Linked DNA regions of Struthio camelus. The protein of the gene in region 1 interacts with the protein of each later gene in a pairwise test. Links are inferred from orthologs where the notes say so. Each region holds a gene or a part of one and is shown in the gene's direction. Other genes may lie near its edges. The genes, in order: TMEM79, RPRM, TNMD and SEC22A.

The links.
Region 2: the proteins of TMEM79 (region 1) and RPRM interact in binary tests that used the Homo sapiens proteins (3 or more experiments, as listed by UniProt). The two-hybrid records come from large-scale screens. The link is inferred for Struthio camelus from reciprocal best matches to the Homo sapiens genes TMEM79 and RPRM.
Region 3: the proteins of TMEM79 (region 1) and TNMD interact in binary tests that used the Homo sapiens proteins (3 or more experiments, as listed by UniProt). The two-hybrid records come from large-scale screens. The link is inferred for Struthio camelus from reciprocal best matches to the Homo sapiens genes TMEM79 and TNMD.
Region 4: the proteins of TMEM79 (region 1) and SEC22A interact in binary tests that used the Homo sapiens proteins (3 or more experiments, as listed by UniProt). The two-hybrid records come from large-scale screens. The link is inferred for Struthio camelus from reciprocal best matches to the Homo sapiens genes TMEM79 and SEC22A.

The regions. Positions count from the first base shown.
Region 1 is NC_090971.1:3,915,309-3,923,238, forward strand, and holds TMEM79 (transmembrane protein 79), read left to right. Parts: upstream 1-4,527; 5' UTR 4,528-4,893; intron 4,894-5,501; 5' UTR 5,502-5,580; coding exon 5,581-6,298; intron 6,299-6,527; coding exon 6,528-6,741; intron 6,742-6,988; coding exon 6,989-7,190; 3' UTR 7,191-7,536; downstream 7,537-7,930. Other genes in the region: nonsense-mediated mRNA decay factor SMG5, read right to left, coding at 3,838-3,914.
Region 2 is NC_090947.1:45,058,829-45,064,665, reverse strand, and holds RPRM (protein reprimo), read left to right. Parts: upstream 1-4,374; coding exon 4,375-4,743; 3' UTR 4,744-4,804; downstream 4,805-5,837. UniProt on the Homo sapiens protein: May be involved in the regulation of p53-dependent G2 arrest of the cell cycle. Seems to induce cell cycle arrest by inhibiting CDK1 activity and nuclear translocation of the CDC2 cyclin B1 complex.
Region 3 is NC_090952.1:21,965,210-21,973,540, forward strand, and holds the start of TNMD (tenomodulin), read left to right. Parts: upstream 1-4,855; 5' UTR 4,856-4,908; coding exon 4,909-4,956; intron 4,957-5,075; coding exon 5,076-5,210; intron 5,211-7,393; coding exon 7,394-7,534; intron 7,535-8,331. UniProt on the Homo sapiens protein: May be an angiogenesis inhibitor.
Region 4 is NC_090947.1:33,818,543-33,826,135, forward strand, and holds the start of SEC22A (vesicle-trafficking protein SEC22a), read left to right. Parts: upstream 1-4,227; 5' UTR 4,228-4,389; intron 4,390-4,464; exon of another isoform or gene 4,465-6,191; intron 6,192-6,448; 5' UTR 6,449-6,677; intron 6,678-7,593. UniProt on the Homo sapiens protein: May be involved in vesicle transport between the ER and the Golgi complex.

The DNA.
Region 1 (7,930 bases):
CATCTAAGGATCTGGTTGAGTTTAGCAGTGACAGAAACGCATCTTGATACTGCACAACACAACACCCATGAAATCACATGAAGTACTCAAAAGGCAATTGCCAGAGTCCCCTTTCTGAGAGTCAAGCAAACGGGCAGCTACCTGGCTGCCAGCGGTATCAGTGGGTAAGAAATGCAATCAAGGAGTTAAGGGACAAGCCTACTCACATGCACCACGGCTCAAACGCCTGCCAAACATAAAGTGCACAAAAGTTTCCTTCCAGGGACATCTCAGCATGGACCTTGGAGGGTACTTCACTTTCCCCTCCAGCACAGAGCAGGAGGCATCCTGGAGGGTGTCTCCCACACAACACACTTTCCTTTAACAGCCAGGGATGGGTGCTTGGAGACACCGATCTTTCTGTTACTTTTTATGGGTTCACAAAGAAACAGAGGGTTGGCAACTCAAAAACCACAGGGCAACAAGGTTCATCTTTTAGGATGTGGGTTGCCGAGCTACAAGGCACAAGGCAGACCCCACGCTGAAAGGTCTTCTCATCAGCGCGAGCTCCAGGCTGCTGCTGGGGGAAGCAGAGGCAGCAGTGAGGAAGACTGTGACAACCACCAAAGAACTGCAGGCATCCCAGGCTGCAGGTGGTGAGGAAAGGGGCTGCAACGAGGACAAAAAGGGACAGGGGATAGGCTCACTTCAAAAAGTTAGGGAATACCAATGCAGGAGATGCAGACTGCACACTGACTAAAATGCAGCTTAGCAGTTTGGCCCCTGGGTGGCCTGAGACCATGGGCTGAATTATACTTAGGGGTTAAGAAGTCAAATTTTGTCTCAGTGCCCATTTTTGTACCTGCTGGGCTTAAACCTTGCTTTCAGACAGCATGTCAGAAAGGGAGGGAGCAAATCAGACACCAGTCTATTAAAAGAACCAAGCGCAGCACATCATGCCAAGCAGGGTGGAAAAAGTCCAGTGCCAAGTCCACTTCAGCAGGCAGGAATGGATCCAACACTTTCCTTCTGTGCCATTAACATTCTGGGACAGGGGCAAGATGGCAGGGAGAATGATTCGTGCTCTCTATCTCTTTATCTAATACATCACTAAGAGCCTCTGAGGAGCACGACATGTCTCAAGGAGAGAAGCTGCGGTCGTTCATCTATATTCCAGCACACGTCAGTACACAAATAATACTGCCCAGAATAAGAAGAAGAGTAGCGCAAAGCCAGTAAGCAACAGTTACCCAGAATAAGGTAAAAGAAACGTGGTCATCTTAAATTAAAGAGTACATTGTCAAACAGCACCCAGTATAATCCAGTGGCCACATTCTGGGGTGAAACCCTGGGATTATCAATCCAGGAAGAGTTAAATGGAAAAGATCAAAGACCATCCTACGAACAGAGATGAGCAACCTCATTTCCAAAGGGACACTGTCGTAGCTAGTGTCGTTGGCTAGCCCCGGCCAAGGGCTGCAGAGACCTGAGCCCAAATCCTGCTGCTCTCACAAACCAACTGGCACAAAGCTGATCCCATGTGAGCATGTTTTATAGCAAAGGACTGTGACATTCCAACATCTGCGATTCAAAGGCACAATCTAACCTGATGGCCAAAGTTTCCAGAGACAGTAGTCAGCCATCACGTGAAGTTCAATGAATATAGTACTTCTCACAGCAGAGAAAGTTACCACCCCGTCTAACCGAACTTCAGGCTGAAGCAGAAAATTTCACAAGAGAGTCTGTTCAGGTAGAAAGCTTGCTAAGAGACCTATCGGCTACACAGCAAGAAAATTTGTGACCACTGCAGGTATTATAAACGCTGCAGTAAGATCACAATACTTACTTTGAGCCAGAAGAAAAGAGACGTCTGGAGGAACGTGGCTTTCTGCTGTAAAAATGCTATAAGCAACCATGCACCTAATCCTGCTATAAAAACGTAAACAGAGAACAACCTCTTCCTTGGCTTAATGACCAAACGCATGAGAAGGGACTTTCACTTGTGAGCTTCAGTAGCACAGTGAGTTACCGCTTGTCAGCCGAGCTACGAAACGACTACTGCCCACACACGTTCCTCACCCGTTGTAACCGCAAAGTAAAACAGGTCTTAAACCAACATGAAGGTAGTTTAAACAAAATGTATTTTATTTTGCAAGCGGGGTGCCCTAGGAGCAAACACATCCTCTCCAATCCCTGCCACTGCTCCTCAGGTGACAGAAGGTACATTGCTATGCTGCACTAGCTCAGTTACGAGCACTTGGGGGAATACACCCCTAAGATCAAACAGGGTATTTTGATCTGACAGCAGACACAGAGCTCCATGGCCCTGGAGGCGCTTCCAGTGTGATAGCAAAGCCCACACCTTGGGTAACCCAAGCCATTGCATTTTACCACAAGCCTTGCAATTCAAAAAAAAAAAAAAAAAAGAGGTAATGTAACTTCAAAGTGCAGGGGACAGGTTTGTATGAAGCACCCCAGGGACACAGAAACAAATTCTAGCAGCTAGCATTCAAACTGCTATTACTGCTTTGGACTTTTAGGCAAGGATCTCATCATGTTTCTCAGAGGGACACAAAGCTATCCCTGTTTTACCTAGGAGGGCAGCGAGGTTCCAAGAGAGGAAAGGACATGCCCAATGTCATCGAGCAAGTCAGCAAGATAACTGGAAACGGACCCTAGCATGAACTCCGTTTCCTGCCTTCACCGTCTTGCTCATCTTAGAAACCACATTGTCACTCCCGAAACTCCAGTATGAATCTGCTCTACAGATGGAGAAACTGAGACGCAAGGGGGCAATGAGTGGGCCGCAGGCACAAAACAAGTCACCGGCAGAGCAGAGGCTGGCTCCCGGCTCCCGCTCCCCAGAGGAGCCTCCTGCAGCGCTCAGCACAGCTGGGGTGTGCGGCACTGCTGCGCAGCGCTGCCAGAACGGCACCTCGTCCTTGCTGGGGTGAGCAGACCGAGGCCACCGTGACTTCCTGCATCTTATCTTCCGACACCGTTTTGAACGCGCAGTGCAGAGATGGAAGGGAGAGTGGACTCCCAGGAAGCGTTTTAATGGGAAAAATCTGCAGCTGGAGCAGTCCTGCCCTCCAGTGCAGCTGGAATATGTCCTGGCCTAAGCACCTGCTCACCGGACCCTCTTCTCCACCCCTTCCTGTGCCTTCCCTGTGCGCTGCCAGTGCCATGATTTCCCTCTCCAACTCCCTCTTTCTCTGAATTCCCCACATCTTGCCTTATCCCCCTACATCCCTTACGCTTCCTTCCCTCAGTGCCCCCCACCACATCCTGCCCCATCTCCCCGCATCCCACACACATCCTTCCTCCACCCTCCTTGTCCTGATTCATCTCACTAGACCCCCCACACCCTCTTTCCCTTCCTTATCCCTCCCCCCAAATCTTTCCTGGATCCCCCTCCATCTCCTTCCCCCTGGTCTCAACCTCACCCCTTGGATCTCCCACTCCCCCGCAACCCTCGGATCTCCCACTCCCCCCCATCCTGACCCAGCTGACCATGCCCCCTTTCCCCCGATGTCCCCCCCATGTCCTGCCCCATCTCCTCTGGATCCCACACCACCCCTCACCCCTGCTCCCCTCCCCATCTCCTTCCCCCAGTATCTTCATCTTCCCTGAATCCCCCTCCGTCTTCTTCCCCCTGGTCCCCCCCCCAAATCCTCCCTGACTCCCCATCTCCTCCCCTTGGCCCTCCCATCTCCCCTCACCCCCCTCCATCTTCCCTGACCTGCCTCCCCACACCCCCCCGGAGCCCCTGCCCCTCTCCACCCGCCCTCGCCCTGACCCACCTCCCTGGATGCCCCCAGCGCCCCCCCCGGCCCCGGCCCCGGCCCAGCTCCTCACCGGTACAGCCTCTTGGTGTGCAGCACCTTGGCCTCGGGCTCGCTGCTCTCGCCGGGGGCCCCGCCGCCCTGGCTCATGGCGCCCGGCGCGGGCAAGGCCCGGCGCGGCCCGCGGCCTCCTCAGCACCGGCCGCGCCGCCCGGCCGCCGCCGCCACCCGCCGCCGCCGCCGCCACCGGCCCCGCTCGGCCGCCATGGCTGCGCCGCTGCCCCCTGCCCCGCGCCGCGCGAGACTTGGCGCCCCGCTATCGCGAGATTTGCCGCGAGACCGGTGAAGTTGTGGGGGGGGAGGACGGGGAGAGGCGGCGTCACCTCGCGAGAGTTCCCCACCACCACGGTGCCAGCACTTAGTGCTGGCAAACATGGCGGCGGAGCGGCGTCACCTCGCGAGAGTTCCCCTCGCCATCGCTGCCAGCACTTAGTGCTGGCAAACATGGCGGCCGCGCCGGCGTCATTCAACGAGCTTTATTGCTACCCCCGCGCGGCGGACACGCACAAGCAGAGCTGGAAGGAGGGAGGGGGCCAGGCCAGGCCAGGCCTGGGGCCGCAGGGAGAAACCCCCCCCCCCCGCCATGAACACCCCCATCCAGGCAGCTCCAGCCCCTCGGGGGCTCCCCCGGCGCCAGCTCCCTCGACGGGTGCCAAGGGACCCCCTGGGAGTCCCCCAGCTCCTGGTGACGATGCTGGGGTGCTCCTCGGGCCTGCCCGGCCTGGGGGCCGCCCTCCGTTTTGCCCTCTCCCTGCCAGCAGAAAAGCCCTCGGGGGCAGCTGGCAGGCCTGGGGGGGAGGAAGGGGTTGCGGAGGGGACAAGGCGGGGGCTCCTCCCGCCCGAAACCCCTGGCTGCGACGAGGAAAACAGGCTGGCGGCCGCCATGGGGGAGGCCTCCCCCGTGGGGCTCAGCCCGTCCGCCCCGTGGGGCCAGGCGGCTGCGCCAGCCCCTTGCGGCCCGGCCCCACCTTCGCCGGTTAAACAGGTTTGAAGTCCAGGGCGGAGAGGTCTCAGCGGCGGCGGCGCTGCCGGGGCTCCCGCCGCCGTCTCCCCCCGGTCCTCTCGGCACGTAAGTCGCCGGGCCGGGGGAGCCCGGCTCCGGTTGCCTCCCCACCGCCCGCCGTGGGGGGTTTGGAAATGGCGGGGGGAGGCCCAGACGCGGCCAGGGTGCTGTTTCAGGCCCCCTGCCCGGTGGGAGCGCGGATAAATCGCCGGCGCCGCACCGTGCCTCGGTTTCCCCATGCCCCCAGCCGGGCCGGGGCGCCGGGCTCCTGGCGGGAGTGCGTGGAGGAAGGCGCCTGCGGTGGGATTTTCCCTGCGGGAGGCTCCCGCACCTGCAGGCAGTGAGGGCTGGGGCCCTCTCAGAGGGGAAAATCTGGGATTTCCACCCGGATCTCCTGCTCCCCCCCCAGCAGGCGGCACGGCGGCTCCCTCCTGCGCCCGCCCCGAGTCGGAAACAAATCCGGCCTGTCCTCGCTCCCCGGCTGCTCTCCCCGGCACACGTGTCGGGACGCGGCCGGCGCCGCGCTCGGATCGGCCCGGCAGGATCCAGCCGCCCCGAGCCGCACGCGGCTCATCCCCCAGCCCGAAACCTCGGCACATTTTGCGGGGAGGATTGCTGGGCCAAAACCTCTCATTCCTGTTGTCTTTTTGTCTGTCTGCTTCTTCCTCGTGCAGGGTGAGTCCAGCAGGGATGGGATCCTCCTCCTAGTCCCTTCCTGCCGCCCCGAAACGCGGGAGGAAACCCCGAAACACCATGGCTGCAGCCGACCCTGTCCTGCCCCCCGAGGAAATGGCCTTGCTGGAGCTGGGGACGGCGGCCGCCCTCCTGGACAAGGTGCCCCCCGGCCGCACCGAGCCCCCGGGGGACCCCGAGGCCACCCTGCCGTGGGACCAGTGCCAGCACGGCGCCCAGGGCCAGCCCGAGCCCGCAGAGGCCAAGAGGCGCTCGAGCCCCGAGGGGGGCCGCGAAGACCCCGAGGAGGCCAGCCCTGCCAGCCCCCCGGCCGAGGCCGAAGACGAGGAGCCCCACGGGCTGCCCGTGGTGGCGGCGGCCCACGTCTTCGTGCCCATCGACCCGCAGTGCATCGAGCGGAAGCAGCAGCCGGCCCCGCGGCCCCGGGAGCAGGGTGAAGGGGGCTACGTGCTCCCCCGCGGCGACAGACCCGACGGCCTCCGCCAGAAGCAGGTCTTCCTCCCCCTCGGCCCCTCGCGCTACAGGGACGCCCTGGGCTACGAGGGGCGAGCGGCCAAGGCGCCGACTGAGGCGCCCCGGTGCCCCTGCGCCGTGGATTGCAGCTCCGGCAGCCTCAGGGCCGTGGCGTCCGTGGTGGGGGCCCTGCTCCTCTGCCCCTGCCTCGTCTACGGCGCCTACGTCTTCCTGCCCTTCGACGCGCCGCTCCTGCCCACCGTCAGCGCCCGCCTGGTCTACACGCTCCGCTGCACGGCCTTTGCCACCTTCCCCATCATCCTCGGTGAGCCGCGCGCCCGGGGGTGCGGGATGCAGCAGGCAAAGCCAGAGCGGAGCTCTTTGCAGCTCCGTCACTCCTGCCAAAACTCGCACGCGGCCGAGTTTTCCTGCCCTCCTCCCGCCCTGCTGCGCCCGTCCGGTTCTCTCTCCCCAACGCGGCTTCCTTAGCCCGCAGCGCCGCGCGCCTCGGTCGCCGAGCGCTGCCGGCTCAGGCCACCTCTCTGCCCCGCCAGGGATGATCGTCCACGGCATCTCCCGCCTCTGCTCCTCCTCGCTGGAGCCCTTTGGGGAGCTGCAGCAGGAGGTGGAGATCCACCGCACCTACGTCTCCCAGTCCGTCCACCTCTTCATCCTCTACTTCTTCAACGTGGCCGTGCTGGCCACCTACCTCCCGCAGGAGGCCCTGAAACTCATCCCCCTGCTCACGGGGCTCTTCGCCATCTCCCGGTAAGCAGCCCCTCACCCTCCACCCCAGCATCCTCTTTCCCCGCCCCGGGCATTGCAGGTTCCTGGAGGGACCAAGCTGGGTCCATCAGTGCTGGAAAACTTCCTGCCCCAGTTTTTGTCCCCCTTGCCACAGCAGCCACCTGGATCTGGCAAAGCCCCGCTGTCGCTGGCACTCCTGAGCCCTGGGCATTGCGGTGTCACCTCCCAGCGTGCCCTCGCTCAGCCCCGACCTGTCTCCTGTCTCCAGGCTGATCTACTGGCTCTCGTATGCCATCGGGCGCTCCTTCCGCGCCTTCGGCTTCAGCATGACCTTCCTGCCCCTCCTGGCCATGCTGCTCTACAACCTGTACGCAATGTTCATCCTGGAGCCCGAAAACCTCGCCGTGGTGGGCGCGAAGGCTGAGGACCCCTCCAAGGACAGCAGGAACAAGCTTCGATTCTGGGGGTGAGAGGGGCCGCAGGGAGACCGGGGAGCTCACTTGCAGCCCCCAGGGTGCCCTCTCCTCACGCTGGGCTGAGATGTACTAGGACAAGCCTCAAAGGTGGACAGGGACAGGCAGATCCAGCTGGGTCCCTGCTCCCTGCCCGGGGCCAGCAACATCCTGCGGGATGCCAAGGGCCAGGCTGTGAAACCCTCCCTGCTGGGAGTTTCCTGCAGGAGGGTGAATGGGGGCCCCAGAGCAAGTCCCAGCAAGCAGCAGGGCCCAGTTCATGGGAACGGGCAGGTGAAAGGGACCCAAACTTCTTGCTGGAGTTGGCTTTGCCCAATAAAACCCTTCACTAAGTGGCTCCATGATTGAATTTCCCTAGGACTTACCCTCACCACCAGGACTTGCAGCTGCACCCACAGCCCTTGGGATGCCACCATCCAGCCCCAAAATGATATTTCCCAGAGGGCAAAAAGCAGATGTTTCCCCATCCTGTCCCGGCACTGTGACCGGCCCTTCTCCCTGCCTCCCGTTCCCAGATCCTGCGCGGCAGCTCCGCCAGGCCCAGCATGTCCCTCCTCCTCCTCCTGGCAGAGGTTCAGCGTCTGGTTTGCAAACCGGTTGGCCGGGTCCGAGGGAACTCTGCCCCAGGGAGGGACGCGGGTGAGACAAGGTGGCCCTGGGCTGGGTGAAGCGGCTCCAGCATTTCTGCGGCCCAGCACAGGGGGGCAGCCGATCCTCTCGCCCAGCTGGGCACCCAG
Region 2 (5,837 bases), on another chromosome or scaffold:
GCCGCCAGCCCGTCCCCCGGCTAGGGACCACGTAGGAGAAGCCCAGGACGGTGCTGGCAGGTCCGGCCGACGGCGCGGGATGCCCAACGCCCCTGTGCGAGGGCGGCCGGCAGCCAACGCCTGCGAAGGTTTTAAGGCCAAGGCAAGGGCGTGCTGAAAGGGCCCCACCGCGGCCCCCCGTGCTCCCGCGGGGCTTTGTCTGCCGGCGGCGACGCCTGCAGATGTAAGAGTCCCTGGGGCACAGCCTTCCCCAGGAAACTGCTCAATCGCTTTTCGGAAAACATGAAAAAACGTAGCCAGCCCTAAAGCAAGCGGTTCCGCAGCTTAGCTACGATTACCGCGTACACTTCTTGCACGAAGAATCATCTCTTGTTAAGTCCAAGCCCACCATCTGCTGCTTTCATCTGATATTTCCTAATATACCGCCTCTTCGAGTACCGGCGCAGCTAGCAGGGTCCCACGCGGGTGAAAGCCGGGGTCAGAAATCCCACCACCCCCGACCACCAGATCTTTATTATCACTTTTACGGCTTTCCTTCTGCGGACAGACTGCGGTCAGTGGCTCTTCAGCACGGCCAACCTGTGCCAGCAACGATCTGTCTAGGGACAACCGGGGAAGGATGCTCAGCCCTGCTCGTGCTAGGAAGCTGCAAGACCGAAAAGTAATAGAAATCCGTTGTGCATCGCGCCTTGCCAGTCACTTAATCCCCAGCATCCTTGGGACAGAAGAAGTTAATTATATTCCTAGCAACAACTAGAGAGCAGCAGCTAACCAGGAAGAGCAGGCTTTGACTGCTGCCCAGCAGCCGGCAAGGGCATCCCAGCGCGGCTCTGAACGCCGGAGGAAAAAGCAGTCTAGGAGATAAGGGCATTTTTTCCTCCTGGAAAAAAAAAGCCCACCAAAAAGTCTGAGCCGGCCCGTGACGAAGCCTGCACCGGGCTGCTAAAGGGAGAACGTTAATGGCAACTGGCTCCAGAGAAATTGATTTTTTTTCTTTCTTTTTCTATTTGGACAGGCAAAGATAAATGTTTCTATTGCCCTGTAAGCCTAAGGGTATAACGTAAAGTGCTTTCCAAGCCTGCTGTTTAGAGGGAAAAAATTCTATTTTAATCAAGGAATAACAACCCCTTATGTTGCACTGTAGCAAGCTGAGGCCGTGCTTTCCTTCCTTGGATGCAACGGACAGAAACCAGCAGGAGCGCGAGCGGCCACCTGGTTTCGGAGCCGCTTGTGAAGCAGGCGAGACGCCCGGGCCCCCCAAACTCACCCAAAGCGAGTAGAGCGGAGCCGCGGGCAGGCGCCGGGGGGGCACAAGGCGAGCGGCGCGGCCGCCGCTGCCCGCGCTGGATGTCACCGCGCCAGCCAGCGCCGCCCGGCGCCCCGCTCCCTCCTGGCGTTGGGCCGGCGCGGAGCGCAACCTGCGCGCCCCTCGGGCCCCTGCCTCTCCGCTCCGGCGCTGCAGGGCGCCGGCTTGGCCACAGCCGCCTTCCCGCGCAGCGGCTCCAACACCGCCAGCGGGCTTCGCACCCGGCCCGCTCCTCCAGCTCTGCGGGCACCGCCCTGCGCAGGGAGATGCAAGCCTCAGTGTGCACCACCACGTGCAGGGAAATGCAAGCCTCAGCGGGCACTGCCCCGTGCAGGGAGATGCAAGCCTCAGTGTGCACCGCCCCGCGCAGGGAGATGCAAGCCTCAGCGGGCACTGCCCCGTGCAGGGAAATGCAAGCCTCAGTGTGCACCACCACGTGCAGGGAAATGCAAGCCTCAGTGTGCACTGCCCCGCGCAGGGAGATGCAAGCCTCAGCCTGCACCGCCCCGCGCAGGGAAATGCAAGCCTCAGTGTGCACCACCTCGCACAGGGAAATGCAAGCCTCAGCGTGCACCACCTCGCACAGGGAAATGCAAGTCTCAGTGTGCACCACCACGTGCAGGGAAATGCAAGCCTCAGCATGCACCACCTCGCACAGGGAGATGCAAGCCTCAGCGTGCACCACCACGTGCAGGGAAATGCAAGCCTCAGTGTGCACCACCCCGCGCAGGGAGATGCAAGCCTCAGTGTGCACCGCCCTGCGCAGGGAGATGCAAGCCTCAATGTGCACCACCCTGCACAGGGAGATGCAAGCCTCAGCATGCACCACCCCGCACAGGGAAACGCAATGACTAGCTTTCAGAGTTATGGCACTTCTCACATGTGATCTTTGCCCAATTGCACTGTCAGGTTTGTACGTAACACTACCCAAACTGTTTGTAGTTTTTCTCCCCGGATTTCCGTAGATGCTTTGTGCACGTCGGAGCGTGCTGAAGGGGAGCGTTGTGCTTTTCCGCATTTCTTAGCTACTCAAAACACTCCTTAAAATACATTCTTGGTGTTCCGGGCATAGGTTTTCAAGCAGAAGCAGCAGACGTTTTGAGGCAAGGGAGCTGGTTGCGGCTACGCAGCTGGAGGGCAGGGGCGGGCCGGCGCCCCCCGACCCGCGCAGTGCCCCCGACCCGGGCGCCCCTCGCTCCGCGAGCCAGGCCCAACGGCGCGCCGGCGCGGCCCGAAGCGATGGCGCGGCCTGGGCACGGCTCTTCCAGCGCCCTTCTCCGCATCAAGGAGCTGCCGGCGCCCTCGTCCCTCCGCAGAATCAACCTTATCGTCTGCGTCCCACACCGAAAACAAACCGGTCCGGCCGGGGCCCACCTGGCAGGGTGCTGCACCCCGAAACCTGCTCCCCAAACTGCCCCAGGAACCTGCTCCCGAACCCGCTCTGCACCGCCTGCCCCCCAACCCGCTCCCCAAAACCCACCCCACAAACCTGCTCCCCCCAACCCGCTCCCCAAAACCCACTCCAGACAGCCCCTGCCCCAACCCGCTCCCCAAAACCCACCCCACAAACCTGCTTCCCCAAAACCTGCCCCCCAAAACCCACCCCACAAACCTGCTCCCCAAACCCACCCCAGACAGCTCCTGCCCCAACCCAAAACCCACCCCAGAACTTCCTCCCTAAAACCTGTTTCTCATAACCTACCCCAGAAACCTGCTCCCCAAAACCTGCTCCCCAAAACCCACCCCAGAAGCCCCCTCCCCAAAACCCACCCCACAAACCTGCTCCCCAAAACCCACCCCCACAAACCTGCTCCCCCCAACCCGCTCCCCAAAACCCACTCCAGACAGCCCCTGCCCCAACCCGCTCCCCAAAACCCACCCCACAAACCTGCTTCCCCAAAACCTGCCCCGCAAAACCCACCCCACAAACTTGCTCCCCAAACCCACCCCAGAAGCCCCCTCCCCAAAACCTGCCCCAACAAACCTGCTCCCCAAAACCCACCCCAGAAGCCCCCTCCCCAAAACCCACCCCACAAACCTGCTCCCCAAAACCCACCCCCACAAACCTGCTCCCCAAAACCCACCCCAGAAGCCCCCTCCCCAAAACCTGCCCCAACACACCTGCTCCCCAAAACCCACCCCAGAAGCCCCCTCCCCAAAACCCGCCCCAACAAACCTGCTCCCCAAAACCCACCCCAGAAGCCCCCTCCCCAAAACCCACCCAACAAACCTGCTCCCCAAAACCCACCCCAGAAGCCTCCTCCCCAAAACCCGCCCCAACAAACCTGCTCCCCAAAACCCACCCCAGAAGCCCCCTCCCCAAAACCCACCCCACAAACCTGCTCCCCAAAACCCACCCCCACAAACCTGCTCCCCAAAACCCGCCCCAACAAACCTGCTCCCCAAAACCCACCCCAGAAGCCCCCTCCCCAAAACCCACCCCCACAAACCTGCTCCCCAAAACCCGCCCCAACAAACCTGCTCCCCAAAACCCACCCCCACAAACCTGCTCCCCAAAACCCACCCCAGAAGCCCCCTCCCCAAAACCCATCCCAACAAACCCGCTCCCCAAAACCCACCCCGGCAGCCCCCTCCCCCAAACCCGCCCCACAACCTGCTCCCGCGCAGCCCCCTCCCCGCAGCCACCCGCAAACTCGCGCTGCCCCGGAGCCGCCGCCCAGAGCCCTTCCCGGACACGCGCTGCGCGGGGGCTGCGCGGGGGAGGGGGGGGCTGCGCGGGCCCTGCGCGGGGGCGGCGCGGGGGAGGGGGGGGCTGCGCGGGCCCTGCGCGGGGGCGGCGCGGGGGAGGAGGGGGCTGCGCGGGCCCTGCGCGGGGGCGGCGCGGGGGAGGAGGGGGCTGCGCGGGCCCTGCGCGGGGGCGGCGCGCCCCTGCCGGGCGCGTCGGGGCGGAGCCGCCGGCGGAGCGGGAGGCGCCGCCGGCGGGAGCCGCCCGGGCGCAGCGGCGCGGGGCAGCGCGGAGCGGAGCGGCGCGGAGCGGCACGGCGCGCCCTGCCCGGCTGCATGCGGCGGCGGCGGCGGGGCGCCCCGGCGGCGGCGGCGGCGGCGGGATGAACGGCTCGGCGGCGGCGGCGGGCGGCGGGACGGCGGCGGCGGGGCTGCTGGCGGGCGCCGGGAGCGCGGCGCTGGAGCTGGAGCGGGCGCTGCGCTGCTGCACCGCCGCCTCCGTGGTCACCGACGGCGGCGGAGGTGGTGGTGGCGGCGGCGGGGCGGCGGCGGCGGCGGCGGACGAGCGGAGCCTGTACATCATGCGGGTGGTGCAGATCGCCGTCATGTGCGTCCTGGCCCTCACCGTCGTCTTCGGCATCTTCTTCCTCGGCTGCAACCTGCTCATCAAGTCCGAGGGCATGATCAACTTTCTGGTCAAGGACCGTCGCCCGTCTAAGGAGGTGGAGGCGGTGGTGGTGGGGCCCTACTGACCGCCCCGGCCCCGGCCCCGGCCCCGGCCCGGGCTCCGCACCCGGCTCCGCACCCGGCGGCGCGGCCCCGACGTGCGCTGCCGCCCGCGCGCTCCCGGGGCGCCGCGCTCCGCCGCCGCCCTCGGCGCTGTCCCGGTCCCGGCCGAGCGCGGAGCGCTCCGACGGCAGCGGGTCGGGGCGGCCCGGTCCATTCGCCGCTTTAATAAACGTCTTCGACTTGGAGCGCCCGGCTCCCGCCCGTGTTTCCCGGCCGCCGCCGCCGCCGTGGCCGGAGGGGAGCGGGGAGGCGACAGCGGGGGACAGCTGGGTCCTGGGGACAGCCGGGTCCTGGGGACAGCCAGGACCCTCGGACAGCCGGGCTAGGGGACAGCTGGGTCCTGGGGACAGCCAGGTCCTTGGGACAGCCGGGCTAGGGGACAGCTGGGTCCTGGGGACAGCCAGGTCCTGGGGACAGCCGGGCTAGGGGACAGCTGGGTCCTGGGGACAGCCAGGTCCTGGGGACAGCCGGGCTAGGGGACAGCTGGGTTGGAGATTGCTGGGTCCCAGGGAACAGCCAGGACGGGGGCAGTGGGGAAAAGCCAGGCTGGGGGCAGCTGGGTTCTGCAGGGCAGTCAGGTCTTGGGGGCAGCTGGGTCCTGGGGGGCAGCCGGGTCCTGGGGGGGCAGCTGGGTCCTGGGGGGCAGCAGGGTCCTGTGGTCAGCTGGGTCCTGGGGGGCAGCCAGGTCCTGGGGGTCAGCCAGGTCTTGGGGGGCAGCCAGGTCCTGGGGGGCAGCTGGGTCCTGGGGTCAGCTAGGTCTTGGGGGGCAGACAGGTCCTGGGGGGCAGCTGGGTCCTGGGGTCAGCTAGGTCTTGGGGGGCAGCCAGGTCCTGGGGGGCAGCTGGGTCCTGGGGGGCAGCTGGGTCTTGGGGGGCAGCCAGGTCCTGGAGACAGCCGGGTCCTGGGGGGCAGCTGGGTCCTGGGGGGCAGCAGGGTCCTGGGGGGCAGACAGGTCCTGGGGGGCAGCCGGGTCCTGGGGTCAGCTAGGTCCTGGGGGGCAGCCGGGTCCTGGGGGGCAGCTGGGTCCTGGGGGGCAGCCGGGTCCTGGGGACAGCCG
Region 3 (8,331 bases), on another chromosome or scaffold:
GAGACATGAAATTGTTATTTATCAAGATGAAACCAGCGTTTGGATAAAATTCTCTGGCTCTGTTAATAACGTCTGTTGACAAGGGAGTCACAGCAGCAGGAAGGAGGCAGACGTCCCCCTAAGCCGGCGGCAGTGGCGGCACGGCTCTAAGAAGGAGGATTTTTCATGGGCTGTGAGCAGGGAGAAGAAGCATGTGTCTTTGCTAACAAGTTTCTGAACGGCTCCTTCGGAACGCCCACCGTGAATTTATCTTGTAATACGCTTTCCTAAAGGTTTGTCAGCTTTGAATAATCTGCTGCGGCTACAGATTTCCGGAGGGCCACGTGACCGCGTGCGTCTTGTTCGTGAAGTCCAAAACCCTCAGCAGTTTTCTCAAAATGATTAAGTTTCTTAACCTAAATCAAGCATATCTCTGGAGTTTTCTATGAGCACATGAACTTAAGATAAACAGTGAATGATGAATAGGCCAATTACTGAAACCTCTCTTCGGCAGAGGCTGTATGCGGCTCCTTGATAAGAGGAGATACGCGGTCTCTCACCTGGCAAAAGTTTCAGAAAACAGGGTACTCTGAAGCAGAAAGCGCCCTGCGTAATCAGCCCAGTGGCTAGCAAGCGATTTCCTTTTATACGCGATTTTTTTTCCCTTTTGTCCCTTTGCTGCCCCAGCTGCTGGACATGGGAGGGGAGGGAACGGCTGGCCCGGCAGGCGTGCCGCAACCACCCCGCTTTGGGGTAGAGCCCCCCAGAGACCTGAAACACAGCAGCGTCGCTGCCGGCTCGTGCGACGGAGATAAGCCTCCCCTCTCGCCGGGCGAGCGGACGGGCGCCGCTTTGCCCGCCCGGCAGTAAAAGCCGCGAGCCGCCGCGTCCCACAGCAAACGGTATGATTTACTTACTACCTATGGAATTGCCCAATTAATTCACTATCCACATTAATATTATGGCTCATTTTTAACTTTACTGCCTCCGTCGTTCCAATTTAGTGCTGCTCAGAGATGCTGCCGCTGACCTTAATGGGTTTTTCATTATTATAAAGAGCGCCGTATTAATCACGGTTCGTTTTCTGCTGGAGGTTGCTGTCCGAGCCCCACTGCTTTGGGGAGCTGCTTTTTGGCGTAGCCGGGGCGGCTTCGTTTCTCGCCGCAGCTGACGCTGTGCACGGACTGGAGCGCTGCCCAGGAGGAATTTCGTGGTATCACGTTTCCAGACACACGGATGTTACGCGGCAGTCAAACTACATTATGGACACGATAAAGTTTTCAGGGCAAACGGGAGCGAGGAGCCCCAAAAACCTACAGGACGCAGCACTCAAAGCCAACGAGCCTCTTATTGTCCTGTATAAAAATCAAACGCCTTTTAATCGTTTGAAATGTTCTTCTGGGTATCAATTAGTCACACGTTCTATCAGGATCGCTCTTCTTCCTCTGTTCGCATCAGATTAAATTCTCCCCCGTCGTACAGACTCGCGCTCATTAGCTTCTAGGAGCATTAGCGGCTCTTCCCCGTCGTCGGCGCTGATGGAGCGAACCTCGGAACGAGGCTTTTTTTTGGACCAAAACCCTGATCGCCCTCCTAAGGCGATCCCATTTCCCCCTCCCAAACTGTCGCCTTTCCGTTCCCTGGGGCGAGCGGGGCGCCGGCCGGGGCTGCCTCTCCGCGGGCCCCCGCGCAGGGAGCCAGCCCTCCGCCAGCCCGCTTCCCCAGGCCTCGGAGCAGCGCCTCGCGTTTCCTAAACCTGCTTTATTGCTTTTCGGCCGAATTTTATCGCTGTTTCTGTTTTAACCCCAAAGTCTTTTTTTTTCCCACGGACCCTCTGGTGGAGAAGGGAAAGAGTTACTCCTTCCTGCTGGCCGGCCCGGCCGAACTTGGCAGCCCGCGGTGGCGCGAGGCCGCCCGGCCGCTACCCTCGCTGTTCTCCCGAACACTGCCCCGCTGCTCGCGCGTGGTGCCGTCCTCCCAGACACCTCGCCAAGGACTCGTGATATTTATTGAGTTTTATTAACTTCCAACCCGGGGAGTTTCTCACCTCCAAGAGCTAATTCAGACGCCTGGCTCCTGCCGGAGTTACAGTGATTGCCATTAAGAAGCTTGACATTTACCTTACAACAGTAATAAAATAATAATGCCTAATTTGGTGTACGAGTGGCATTTGCAGCGTTTGCTGTCCGTAGGATGGGGGATACTGCGAATATCGCTGCAACGTTGATCACTTACGGCTGCTTAACAGCGCTGCTGTAATTCTTCCCTGTAATCATAAAAGTCGAGCTTCCAGTAGAGCTGCTTCAAAGTTTTCCTTTGAAACGGCAGGAAAAGAAAATGTTTTCAGTCCAAAACAGACATTCCAGTTCCCAGTGAATAACAAAAGCTTTGGAGGTGAAAGTTTGCGGTGAAAAGAAAAACGTGGCATAGAGACGCAGCGCCTGCCTGCTTTGCCGCGTTTAGGTTGCCAAAGGGCTGCAGACCTGCTCCAGGGCCCATGACTGCCTTCCTTAAAAACGGACTTTTCTCCTCCAAATAACCTGCCGCCACTGACTCGTGGCTACGATTGCCCTCCGTTGGTGGCTTCGCACAGACTGAGAACCAGTATGTGTCACCTTCTCAGGTGGCTGCTGCTGAATGAAAAGAAGAGACAGTCTCTCCGGAGCCGCCACGTGAGCAGCATGGGAGGAGCGGCAGCGGGCACAGCCCGGCTCCCTGCTGGTGCGCCGAGGGAAAAGGGGCCTGGCCTTGTCACCGATGCCCGGCTCAGCCACCCGGCTCGGCCACCTACCTTGGTCACCCAGCTCAGCCACCCAGCTCAGCCACCCAGCTTGGCCACCCAGCTCAGCCACCCAGCTCAGCCACCCAGCTCAACCACCCAGCTCAGCCACCCAGCTTGGCCACCCGGCTTGGCCACCCAGCTCAGCCACCCAGCTCAGCCACCCAGCTCAACCACCCAGCTCAGCCACCCAGCTCGGCCACCCAGCTCGGCCACCCAGCTCAACCACCCAGCTCGGCCACCCAGCTCGGCCACCCAGCTCAACCACCCAGCTCAGCCACCCAGCTCGGCCACCCAGCTCAGCCACCCAGCTCAACCACCCAGCTCGGCCACCCAGCTCAACCACCCAGCTCAGCCACCCAGCTCAACCACCCGGCTCAGCCACCCAGCTCAGCCACCCAGCTCAACCACCCAGCTCGGCCACCCAGCTCAGCCACCCAGCTCAGCCACCCAGCTCAACCACCCGGCTCAGCCACCCAGCTCAGCCACCCAGCTCAACCACCCAGCTCGGCCACCCAGCTCAGCCACCCAGCTCAACCACCCAGCTCAGCCACCCAGCTCAGCCACCCAGCTCAACCACCCAGCTCAGCCACCCAGCTCAGCCACCCAGCTTGGTCACTGGCTCGGCCACCCAGCTCAACCACCCGGCTCAGCCACCCACCTTGGCCACTGGCTCAGCCACCCAGCTCAACCATCCGGCTCAGCCACCCAGCTTGGCCACTGGCTCGGCCACCGGCTCGGTCCCCCAGCTCAACCACCGAGCTCGGCCACCCGGCTCGGCCATGCTGCTCGGCCCCCCGGCTTGCCTGTGTAATTGTAATTAGCACACGATGCACTCTGGGTTTTCATTAGCATCAACAGGTTGGAAAACCAGCGCAGAGCAGCTCGGCGGCGGGGGCCGGGAGCGACGAGCCTGCCCAGAGCCGCAACTTGGCTTTTCTGAGCGCGGCCCCTTTCGGGGGAGCAGGGGTGGGGGGTGTGCTCCCCGCAGCCGGCCGGCCGCCCTCGGAGCAGCGCGCCCTTCAGCAGGCTCCTGGGCAGCTCCACTCCGCGGCAAGGCAGACTGCGCGCCACGAGCGGGGGCCCCCGCACCCCCGGGGGGTAGGTGGCGTGGCCCCCTCGCACACCTCTGACATGCCTGGGGCTTTCGCACATGCCTGCACACCTCCTACACGCATGGTACTCACGCACATGCCTGCACACCTCCTGCATGCATGCTGCCCACCCACATGCCTGCACATGCCTGCACACCTCCAACACGCATGGTGCCCATGCTCACGCCTGCACACCTCTGACACACATGGCAGACACGCACACGCCTGCACATGTGCACTGCACCCCTGCACATGCCTGCACATGCCTGCACACACCTGCACATGCACATGGCACCTATGCACACGCCTGCACACCTCCAACATGTGCATGACACCCATGCACACACCACACATGCCTGCACACCTCCGACATGCACATGGTGCCCATGCACGTGCCTTGCACATGCCTGCACGCCTCTAACATGCACATGGCACCCATGCGCATGCTGCACACACCTGCACACCTCTGATGTGCGTGGCACCCATGCACATACCTGGACACGTGTGCACACCTCTGTCACATGCATGCTGCACACCTCCGATTCGTGTATGATGCCCATGCACACTCTGCTCATGCCTGCATACCTGCAACACGTGCACGGCACCCATGCACACGCTGCACAAGTGTGCACGCTCCGACACACACACACACGCCTGCACACCCCCGACACACACACGCTGCACACATGTGCACACCTCCAACACACGCACACACGCTGCAGGCGTGTGCACGCCTCCGACACACAAGCTGCCCACGCACATGCTGCACGGGCCTGCACGCCTCCGACACGTGCACGGCGCCCATGCATAAGTTGCACACGCGTGCACAGGGCCGTGCCCTGCCCGGCAGCCCCGGGGGCCCCCGCGCCGTGCGCGCGGGGCCGCAGCATCGCAGGCCCCCCGGCGGGGCTGGCGGCCGCCCGGCCGCTCGGAGCCAGGAACGAGCTTTCCCTTTCCCTGCTGGCATGTGCATCCGGCGCCGTCCCAGCTCCACCTCGCCGGCGGCTCCCGTCCTCGTCCCGGCCGCGCGCGCGGAGCGCACCCGCCCGGCACACCATGGCAGGGCCGGCCGCGCAGAGCCCCGACGGCTGCTGCTTTCGGGACGTAAGTGGGTGATTTTCCCCGCCGGCGGGGCTTTGCTCGCGGGAGAAGAGCCCGACGCGCGTGCACGCTCGGCTCTGCCCCCCCCGACCCCTGGATATCGCTCTTTTGTAATTAATCAGGCAGAAGCATCTAAAAGCGGAAAGAAGACCTGCACCGGATACCAGAGCTGTGGGCTGCTCTTTTGCGTGCTGGTGATTTTCCTTACGCTGGTATTTTTTGGTGTAAAATATCTCTGGAGCCCAGCGCCCAAGAAGGTAAGTAAAGCCTCGCGGCAGCGGGGCGCTCGTCCCCGGGCGGCTGCTCCTGCCCGGGCGCCGCTTGCAGCCAGCCCCTCGGACGCAGGCAGCTTCGCAGGCAGTATTTCCTTACGCCGCAAGAATTCACCGGGGTTGGGGGGGGGGGGTCTTTTAAAAACGTTTGTACTGTTCGTATCCGACTTTTACTTTCTATGGGCTGTTTTATTTTTCCCGTCAGCGCGCTGCTCTTCTCCTAGCGGGTAATCACGGGCGGATTGGGGAGGGGGGCTCTACGCCGTAAAGAGTTAAAGTCGCTCCCTTCCACCAGCAGCAAGTTTTATGGCGAGTAAGGAAATATTTTCCATTTCATTTCAATTTATCTTGCCAGAAACCGGTGGAAAAGTCATTACGCCGCGGCATAAAGAGGAGGCGAAAGCCAGGCGGCCGCGGGTCCGATTTCTGACGCTAACGTGTCCGCCACGCGGGGCGGGGGGGGATGGCGGGCCGGGTCGCTCCTCTGCGCCCCGCCACCGGCCTCGCTCACCCCGCCGCCAGCGCCCGAAACGCCCGGCTGCCGGGGCCCGGGGGCCGCTCGCTGGAGGGAGCGGGCCGGCGCTCGGGCCTGGGCCGCCGGGGGGGAGCGGCCCGGCGGGCCGCGAGCGTCGGCCTCTCCTCGGCGAGGAGGGACAAAAGGCCCGCGCGGCGCCCTCGGCCCGGCTCCCTCCCGCCGCGAGGGGGTGAAGCCGCCGGCCTCCCTCGAAAGGCAGCGCGCCCGCGCGCCCTGGGCCTCGCTCGCCGCGGCCTCGCCGGGCCGAAGCGCCGGGGCGGCCGCGGCGCCGGCGCAGTCGCCAGCCAGCGCCCCTTCCCGAGGGGGCGTTTGACGCTTGGATGGGCGCTTGGAGAGCGCCGTTGCTGGCAGGCGGCCGGAGGTACGCTGGCGCTAGGATACGGAGGCGCCGCTAAGAGCGGGAACGGTTTCGTTCCCGCTCCGCGAGGTGTCGGGGGCCGAGCCAGCCGCCGGGAGTTTTCCGCCTGGCCGGCTCCCAGCCGGGGCCTCGGCTCCCCTGGTTTCGCTGGTGCGGAGCGGAAGAAGAAGGAGGGCGATGATGTTTCCGACGGTTTTTCCCTTCGGACCGCCCGATGGGCGAGCGAAAGGAGCGGCAGCGGGAAACCGAGGCCGTTCAGGCGGCCGAGCCGCGCGCCGCCCCGCTCCCGGCGCCTCCGTCTCGCGCGTGGTCACGAGGCGACGGCTCCTCCAGCCGGCCCCGGGGATCTCTCCCGTTCGGAAACGTGAACCAAGGGCAATTCACCTCTTTAAAGAACAAAAAGCCTTTCAAGCTCTCTTCGTAAAGCTGAAGAAGGCAAAAGATCTTTGCGGGGGGGGGGGTGGGAAAAAAAAATAATAATAAAGGTTCCTCCGGAGGGGTGGCCTGGGACGCGTGGCCACGGCTGCCGGCCCCCGCCGGCCGCGGGGACCCGCCAGCTCACGAGAGGCTGGGGGGACATATTTCAGAGAGTCGCAAGCAAGGGTAATTTCTAGCCCTATGAAACATGCGGCGGCTCTCCCGGTAGCGCACAGCTGGCCAAACCCAAACGGGCTGGTTGGCCGCGGCGCTGGCAGAAATAATTCTTCCCGAATAGAGAGAGCAAGTCTAATGTAAGGTGCCTCATGGGATCGCGCTCGCCTACGAATGATTTACAGCGCCGTGCGCGTTTTGTCAGTCAAAACAGGCAGCCTTCCAGCCATTTCAGGCTTCACACTATTTTTTCCATACCATAAAATCCACTGGCACATATATCTCTTTGTAAAAGCCTCGTGCTGACTAGCAAGGGAGGCTCGCGACTGCCAGGGAAGCTCATCGCGCTTGCAGTTTTCAAAGTAGGAGGCGAAGGTGCCCAGCAGGCGCCGCGCTGCCCGGCTGGCATCCGCTCCCGTTGAGCAGCTGTGCGCGGGGACACGTCCGTCCTGAAAACGTCTGCAGGAGGTTTGGAAACCCGCTCACGGAAAGGGCACGGCCACGTCCCCCAAGCTGGGGTACAGCCCTGTCCCCCCCCGACCTGGGGCAGGGGGCACTTTGGAGGGGGTGGGCAGCGTTTACCACCCTCTTTTCCGGAAAGCAGAGCCAGGAGCGCCCGCTCGCCCCGCCGCCATTCGGCGCCCGGGGGGCTGCGGCGACCCCCGCGCGGTTTCGCCCCTGCAGATTTACGGCCTGGAGCACACGTTCCTCAGCAATGGCGAGAAGCAGAAGGTGGTGATGGAGATCGACCCGCTGGCCAGAACGGAGACCTTCAGGACCGGCAACGGCAGCGAGGAGATCCTGGAGATCCACGACTTCAAAAACGTGAGTGCGGCAGGGCAGCCCCTCGGGGACGCCCGGCCGGACAGGACCGCGCCTGCGCCTAAACGTCAGCGCGGGCCGAAAGCCTGGCTGCGCCGGGGCCGATGGGACCCCTCAGGGCGCAGAAGGGTAAACCCCAGCACCGTTTATTCCGGGTGAGGGAGAGCAAGGCCTCCGTGCAGACCGTCTGGGGGTGCTTCCCCAAGGAAAAGATATATATCTACACGAGCTTGCACCAGTATTTAATACTGGCATGGTTCAGTTCCAAGGAAATACATTTTAAAAGCTAGATCTAGTTATCGGATTTACCCTTGCAAAGGAATGCAATCACCATAAATCTATCCCAACCCAGTACATTTATCTGTCTGGAGAGCATTAAAACCTCGTGACAACGTTGTAGGCTCTCTCTGAAACCTAATTAAAATTTGTAGGGAAATACCCTGTGCAGTGACATATGGCAAAATTTTCAGCTAATAGCCTAGCAGGAACTGAAGGCTGAATGTTCATATAACCATAACGGTCAGATGCTATTCTGCATATATTTATTTATGATTACTAGAGCTCATGGTAGTTACAAGGGAAAGGGGAGCAAAGTAAAATTTTATGACTATCTGCCTTAAACTATTTGTAAAAAGCCTTATTCTCTCAAACCATAAAATGCCGTATCCCTTAGGAGAACCTGTTAGTACATCTTAGCATTGCTGCTGAATGGAGTTTGCACAAAAACATCAACAGGAAAAATATGACTAAACTGATGCGGCTGTACGCTCGGTGTGATGCAGTTATTTATTCTTTGGCTT
Region 4 (7,593 bases), on another chromosome or scaffold:
AAAAATAAGCAAAGAAATAAACTATATTTTCTGCTGACCTTTTTTATGACCTTGCTCACGCTTCTGCTGATGCTATGTTAGCAAGCATCAGTTCCTAAGCCAGGGAAGCAATGGCTTTGTTGTCAAATATCCTAATTTGTGCTCTGATTTTTTTTTTTTTCTTGGAGGCGAGGGAAAGGAATTAATCCTTCTGTTTTAACACTATTCTAACATTCTTGCCTAAGAGTTTCATCAGTGCTCCAACTAATATGTTTTTAGCTCTTGTGATTATGGAGAAGGGCTTCTCTAAAACCTCTAAAATCAGATGCAATTTTTCCAAAGTGCAGAGTTTTTAGGATGTCAGGAGTTCTTAGCCAGTATCTTGATTCCTGGAGGCCTCATGCAAAGTTTTAAGCACTTGTAGTGAAGTTGTGGCTCTACTGAACATAAACTGACAGCCACTGATTCACTATATCTGTGTTTTCATGGGAACTGGCATTACTATACAAGAAGCAGGAAGCACACTACGGGATAATTAGGCTGTTTTCCAGCTAAAGCTTTGGCTTAAATAATATCTGCAGCTTCAGGCACCAATCTTTAAGAAAGATCCAGAAAAAAATGACAAAATCCAGACAAAGGAGCAACAAGATTATACAGATGTTTAGTAAACACAAGTTTTAGAAAAGAATGAACAGATTTGAGTCTAAATCCAAGATGGCTAAGGGGCCCAGCAGCACTTTTCCCCATTAAAAATGGGCTGTAAAGTGGATCAGTGATCTGATGTGTTCCACATCCACTGAGTGTTTATCAGTTTAATTTCCTACAAAGAAATTGAGGTACAATTTTCTGCATGACCTTTTGAGGGTCCTTTCAGACCTTTACCTCTGTGTTTCTCTACAACTCCGCAACTCCGTAACTACTACAGGCTCCTCAGGCTGAAGATTTCTTTTCTAAGAAACCTGATTTAAAAGTTGTCCTTAAATACAGCGGATAAAGCCCACGGGTGGGAATTACCTCTTTTCTCTTTAGCTATCTGAAAACCAGGCATCTAAATGAGGCTGGTCATGTTGGCTCCCCCTGCAGTGACTGAGGAGGAATAGCAACAACTAGGTGCTTCACACTGGGCGGTTTTCAAACCATTAAACTTTGGTGGGTTAAATCCCACGCTAACACGTCTCAGTTGCTGGGTTTTTGTCTTCGCTTGGCTGATGACATGATAAGCTATCACATGTTATATTTCACTATTTTGGTGTACTCATGAATAAGCACCTCTTTGCCATCTTGGAGGGTTTTGACACCACAGGGACTTATTTGGCACCGGTGCTTAAAAGTTCAGTTTCCTCACTTAACCTTTGAAGTTGTCCATTCCCAGCCTTGCAGTCCTCTTGATCTCTTTATCTCTCCTCCTCCTTTAAAAATACCTACATTCCTCCACTTATTTGCTGTTACACTGACTGGATTTAGTTCTTAGGAATCTCAGTTTTATCTCTCACTGCAGCTTTCACTAATTTATTCAGTGCATGGTGCCCCCCTATTAATGTTTTACTGCTTCGTTGTCTTAGGGGAGTCAACGGGACAGGAAGAAAGATATCTGAAATGTAACTGGCTTGTTAGCCATGCAAATTCTTGAATAACGGGTATGATTTAAGTGCACCATGAGGGAGTCAGGAGCTCTGGAGCTGTAATTCCATTTCTGACTCTGCCCCAACTCCGTCAGTGACCTCAGGCAATTTATTTAACCTCCTGGGGCCAGTTTCTTCACCTGATTATAGAGAATTTTACCTTTTTCTCGTAAGAAGGTATAAGGCTTAATGAATAGATGTGTATATAATTTCCAAAGTTCTGTTTATAGAAACACAAAATTCTTATCTTTTTCTCTTCAAAACATTTACAAACGGTCAAGGGAATTTTCGGGTTCAAAGATAAACAGTTCACAGTCAGGAAGCAGAAAAATTAAAATGACACACACGTGCACTTATCACAAACCTTTAGGCAGCCTCTAATTAAGCAATCACTACTTCTCAGCATTATAGTAGATGTTATCACATGCCATTAAACTGTGTAGCAGCTTGTAATACCGTGCACTCTGTTTATACAGGATAAGGACTCTGTGGAAATTATTTAGATTAGCGCATTATCTTTGCAACTTATGTTATAGTTGGGCCTAGTCAGTCAAGACGGGCATGTTCCTGTGCTCAGTTCTAAAAAAAACCCCACAGGGGACACAGTTTCTTCCCGACAGGCTGAGATTCTAATTTGGAAATGTTAAGGAGCTTAACTGAACACACAGACCCCGTGAGGCTGAGGAAGACATGTTTGCGGAGCAAAGACTTCATCAGTTCCTCTGCCACGACTGACTTCCACCGTGGCAGGTGAGAATGCGTTCAGAAGAGGCTCTCTCCCCAGTGGTCTCCAGGGTATGACTTTTTTGTGTGTGTGTGCCGCTTTTAACGTTCAAAGCGGAACTATCTCATCAAACGTCTGCAGGTGACCTCGCCTCATTCCTCTCCTGCAGTGGTCTGCCTGTGTGTCTACTCCCGTCTTTCTCCTTCATACAGTCTCCCTACTCCTGATAGTGTCCGGGTGGTGCTCCTGCCATCTGCTGTGGCGTTCTTCTATTGCTCTGCCTCATCCATTCTCCGTCTCATTCGAGTCTCCGCGGAAAACAATTTTTCTCTTTTGCCAACACCTCTTACTGCCTCCCTCCATCTCTGTTATTAAACTCTATAGCTGTATTTAACCTTGTAAACCTTCTCACAATAAAGCTTGACACAGAGAGCTAGAGTCTTCAGCTCGACTGAGCTTTGCCTGAAGCGTGGTAGTAAGCTTGAAGGCTGAAAGGGCTAAATTATCTCCAGCAGAAACAACTTACACCTGGTTGCTCGTGGATCCAAGAAAGCATTTTGCTACACCTGAATCACTGGCATTCACACCTACTATCTCGAGGCTAGGCAGCAAGGAGACACATGACTCATACTAGCTGCTGGTGTCTGGGCTTGCCCTAAGTGCCCAGCTGAAACAGTTTACGCTGCCACAGAAGGCAAGCTTGAATTTGGAGAGTATTAATGTACTTTGATGCTGCCTTCCTTATTACCTGGTTCCTGAATATAGTTCAGTAGAACCAGAGAGTTTAGTGCAGGACGTATGTTATCGGTACTGTGCAATGCTAAAAAACGTGTACAGTTAAGTAGTAAGAGAGATGGAAGGAGAAATTAAAAGGTGTTAGCAAGGAAATAAGCTACTTTCATTTAAGATTTGAGTTGCACTAAAACCGTATGACACAATCCGAAAAAAGTCAAGCTGAAGAGCAATACAGGAAGAAAATTGTTCTTGTACTGTTAAAGAAAGCAGTTTTAAAACAGGTCTCTCACTTTGGGATCAGTAATGAGATTGGTAAACTTTCAATTTGGTATTGTCAGTTATTTTCAAAGCATGCCCAGTGGATTTCTCCGAGAACGACAAAAATTACGGTATGGCAGTCTGCGTGTCATCTTAGTGCACTTTTTCTGGTGCCAACTATGTCATTGTACTTCCTCCTGATCTGCATTTGTGTGTGCTGCCTGATCAGAAAACACACAAAAACACGTATAGTGTTATTTATATAGCGTTAAGCATATGGCGTGCTCCACACACTTCTGCTCAAACTCATTTGAAACCGGCCAAATAGCTGCAAGTTATTACACAAGAGAACCCACAGGGCGTGATGACGAAGCCTCATTTCCTCAGAAAACCAGGGTAGTAAGCATTTAGCCAAGATGCGTGAGGCAGGAGCGTGCTGAAGACGCTCCTGAAGGACGCGAGGGCCGAGGGCCGAGACCCGAGCGACGCCCTCGCGCCCTTCGGCGACAGGTGCACAGCCGGCGCCTTTCAACCCTTCGGCAACAGCTACCAGCCAAACGCAGCCCCCACGACCGCTCGGCCTGCCGGTGAGTGCTGCAGTCCGCGGGGGCGGCAGGTCCTCTGGCAAGGCCCCTCACGAGTGGCATGGCGGCATGAAGCGCAGCCGCCCCGGTGCCTGGGCCCCGCCTAAAGAAATGGCGCCCAGCGGCACCCCTCGGCCTCCAGGGTCCCCTCGGGCCGTAACGTGAGGATCCCCCCCTCCCTTCCCCGAGCCCCCGGGGTGAGAAGCCCCGCGCCCCGGCGAGGAGCCGCCGCCGCCCCGGGGCAGCCGGGCCCGGCGCGACGCTCCAGGCCCAGATCCCAACGCGCCCCCGCCCCAGCCCGTCGCCATGGCGACGCCCCCGCCCCGCCCCTCCCACGGAGCAATGGCGGGGCCGCGTCGGCGTCACGTGACGGCCACCGCCTAGCCGCCGGGCGGACGTGGACGGTACCCACAATGCCTGGCGGGAGGCGGCGGCGGTGGCGGCAGGGGGCAGCGCGCGCGCCGGTGCCGCCGCTGCGCTGAGGCAGGTAGCTGGGCGCCCCCTCCCCACCTCCCCCGGCGCTGCCGCGCGCCGTTGCCTAGCGACGCGCCCCGCCCCGCCCGGCCGGGCCCGGCCCGGCCCCCTCGCGGGGCCTGGCGGGGAAGGGGCTCCGCCGCCGTTTGGGGAGGGGGCGGCCGCCGGCCTCCCTCTCTCCCTGCCTCCCTCCTTCCCTCAGGGTGCCGGGGCGGGGGGGTGCGCAGGGGTCGCCCGGTAAAGCCAAGAGACATTTGGCTCCGATTCCTTCTCCTGCCCCCCCTCCCCGCGCCGCTGCTGCGTTACCGGGGGGGGGGGGGAGCGCGGCGAGTGCGAGGGTGGCTGTTAGGGGCGAAAGTCTTCCGTGTCCTGTCCTGAAACATCCAGGTGCTGAGGCGGCTGCCGGCGTTTTGCCCTGCTCAGGGGGAGGTTAGCCCGGCGCGGCTGCAAGCCGCGGGGCCCCTTCCCGCGGGGGCGCTTTTTTGGGGGCGAGGGTCGGTCACCGGCCCCTGGGCCTCGGGCCTCGCCGGGCCCTGCGGGGGTCTGAAGCGCTGCGCTCTCCTTTTTTTTTTTTTTTTTTTTTTTCCCCCTCCCTCTTCTTTATGAGAAGGATTATACGGGCTAGTGGTTTGGGATTATTTCCTAGTCCGATCATAGCTGATAATGTCAAAGTGGCTTTATTTATCTCCCATCCTTAGGCAGTGTTTTCGGTGGCGGAATGGGTTTCTAAAGGGTGCTGAGGAGTGGGGAGACTGAGATTGCTCCCTGTGTAATACAGCTGTCACAGCCTGCAAAAGAGAGGAAAACAAATTTTCTGAGGCTCTCTTGTATGCTTGAAGTAAGCATGGAAACCGTATCTTCGTTCTGCTTTTACAAGGAGCCGCCTGGCTTGCAACCACAACCCAATTTTGTGTTTTATGGAGTGTTAATAGGAGAGGCAGGCATGTTGGCAAGGAAGGCTTAATTAAGGAGATGCTGAAAGCTCGCGGGTGCAGGAGAGTAGGTCTGCCATGACACTACATTTATTTACAATATCTTTCAATTTTTCTGAAGCTAGTCTGTTTTTAAAAGACTGGCGTATCCTGAGCAAACCGTTTTCACAGACCACTTTTGGATGTTTTCTCGTAAAGAGTTATGAGAAGACAGATAAGTATAAAACTCATATTGTCATATGTCAAACTGAAAGGCCAATCCCTTACAGAGGAAGGCTGGAATAGAGACCACTTTCTAGGACTTTTCTTGATGCTGCCTCAGGACCAAGTGTCATCCATAACACATAGATAAACTCGATGATAACTGGATCTATCTTTAAAAAAATACAGTAACAGGCTCTGATTTGCACCATCCCAGTTTTCCCTCTAATGGGAGGAATAATAATTCCCATTTGTGAAAGCAGCAGAGTGTGGACGATTTTCTGGCAGGTTTAGGGAGAGTGCAGTAACACAGGAACGCCCGTACCTGGGTCACTCTTTCCCGTCTGTGGTCTGGTTTCTCCATGTTTCTCTTTTCCTTGAACTCTCCCTGTCCCGATTTTCAGAGAGGCCTGTGAAGTTTTAGTGTAAGGGGAAATCCGTAAAGACAGGTCAGAAGCAGATGCGTACAGAGAAGCGTAACACTGGCACCATCACAGAGTGATTTTGCCGTAGTGTGCTTTCATTGTTTGTGGGTCGGGCCCTTCCTGAGCAAGGGGTAGTCTTTTCGATAGAGTAACCCTTCTAGCTAATCTGTGAACTTATCTAGTTACCTCTTGAATCCACCTAAACTTTCAGCATCTACGTCATCCTGTGGCAAGGAGTTCCCCTGGCTAACGGCATGGTTTGTGAAGAATCAGCTATGTTTTCTGTTATATCCTTAATGTTCTTTCTTCAGCCTCTGTGTATATATGTCTGTATCAAACGTGCCAGCTGGTGCTTTCTGCGGAGCCTGATTGTTTAGAAAGCCAAGTAAAAGCTGCGTTTTCATTTTGGAGATTTAGTAAACTGTTTCTGATGAGCATGGCCTCACAAAAAGAATTGAATAATAGCGTTAGCCACAAAATGCATGTATTAATTTATTCAATCTTGTCTCATCAGATAGCTCGACATGAACTTCAGTGATCGAGATCATATAAAAAGTAAACAGAACAGTATTTTTTCTTCGGAGAGCTGGCTTCAGGATTCTGAGTTTCTCCTGCCTTGCTGTCTTACCTGCGGCCTTTTCCTAAGACAGGACATGGAGCTGTGGGTCCTTTCTTCCCTTTAGGTGCTAATGAAGTTACTTCACCAGAGGAAATGCAGATCCATGAAATTCCGTTTTGTGCAAGTAAGTTAATGAAGGGGAATTATAAACTTTTGCTATCACATTATTGTTCTGATGTTGCTCCCAGAGTCCCAAGTGATAAAAGCAGCTGTTGTCCGAGAAACGTTACATCCCCTGTGATTGTGTCATGCTTGTGAGCCACTGCCAGGGTTATGTGGTTGGCAGCGTAGTTAAGGAAACGAGTGCCGTGTGTGTGGTCTGTATTTCATGTGACTTGTTTTACTGGGAGACTTGCATAAACATAAGTGCAGATACATACAAGTTGCCAAAACTGTAGGCTAAATTTCTAGAATGCTTTGCTCTAGCAAACTAACCTAGAGGAAATTCTGAAGTATCCAACTCTGATCAAAGCATTTTGTACACTAGGGAATTCTGTGGTGAGATGCTGGATTAAGAAGCCTACCTGCACCAGTAGGCTTGTCGTAGGTAGGAACCGGCAAGGGCTCAGAGGCTCTCGGTGGCTGCAGTGGCTTCTGCTGCTGTTACAACTTTGGTGAAAGTCTGATGCACTATAAAGTTAGAAGGGCATTCATTTGGAACTCATATTGCTAAGTTAACATAACTCATCTGAAAGCAGGTTGAAGTTTGGCTGCCGCTGAAGAAGCAGCTGAATTTCTTTCTTAACCTGAAAATTGCAACCAATTTTCAATGTTTCTATTATTGCACAACTTTCTCTGTGAGGAGTAAATATTCTTGAGAAACGTGAATATTGATTGTTATTCAAAAATATCCAGGTGTAAACCCTTTGTGCAGGGGGAAAGAGAGGAGGCAGGAGTTCAGGAAAAAGTGGCTTTTTCCTGCTCTTTTGCAAAGAGGCAGTGCTATTTTGGGAGAACTTTGATTCCTAATTTTTAGAATAGAGTCCTTCAGTTGCTAAGTGTTGTAAAGCACCCTTAATGTCGTGGTTTTGAAAGGTGCT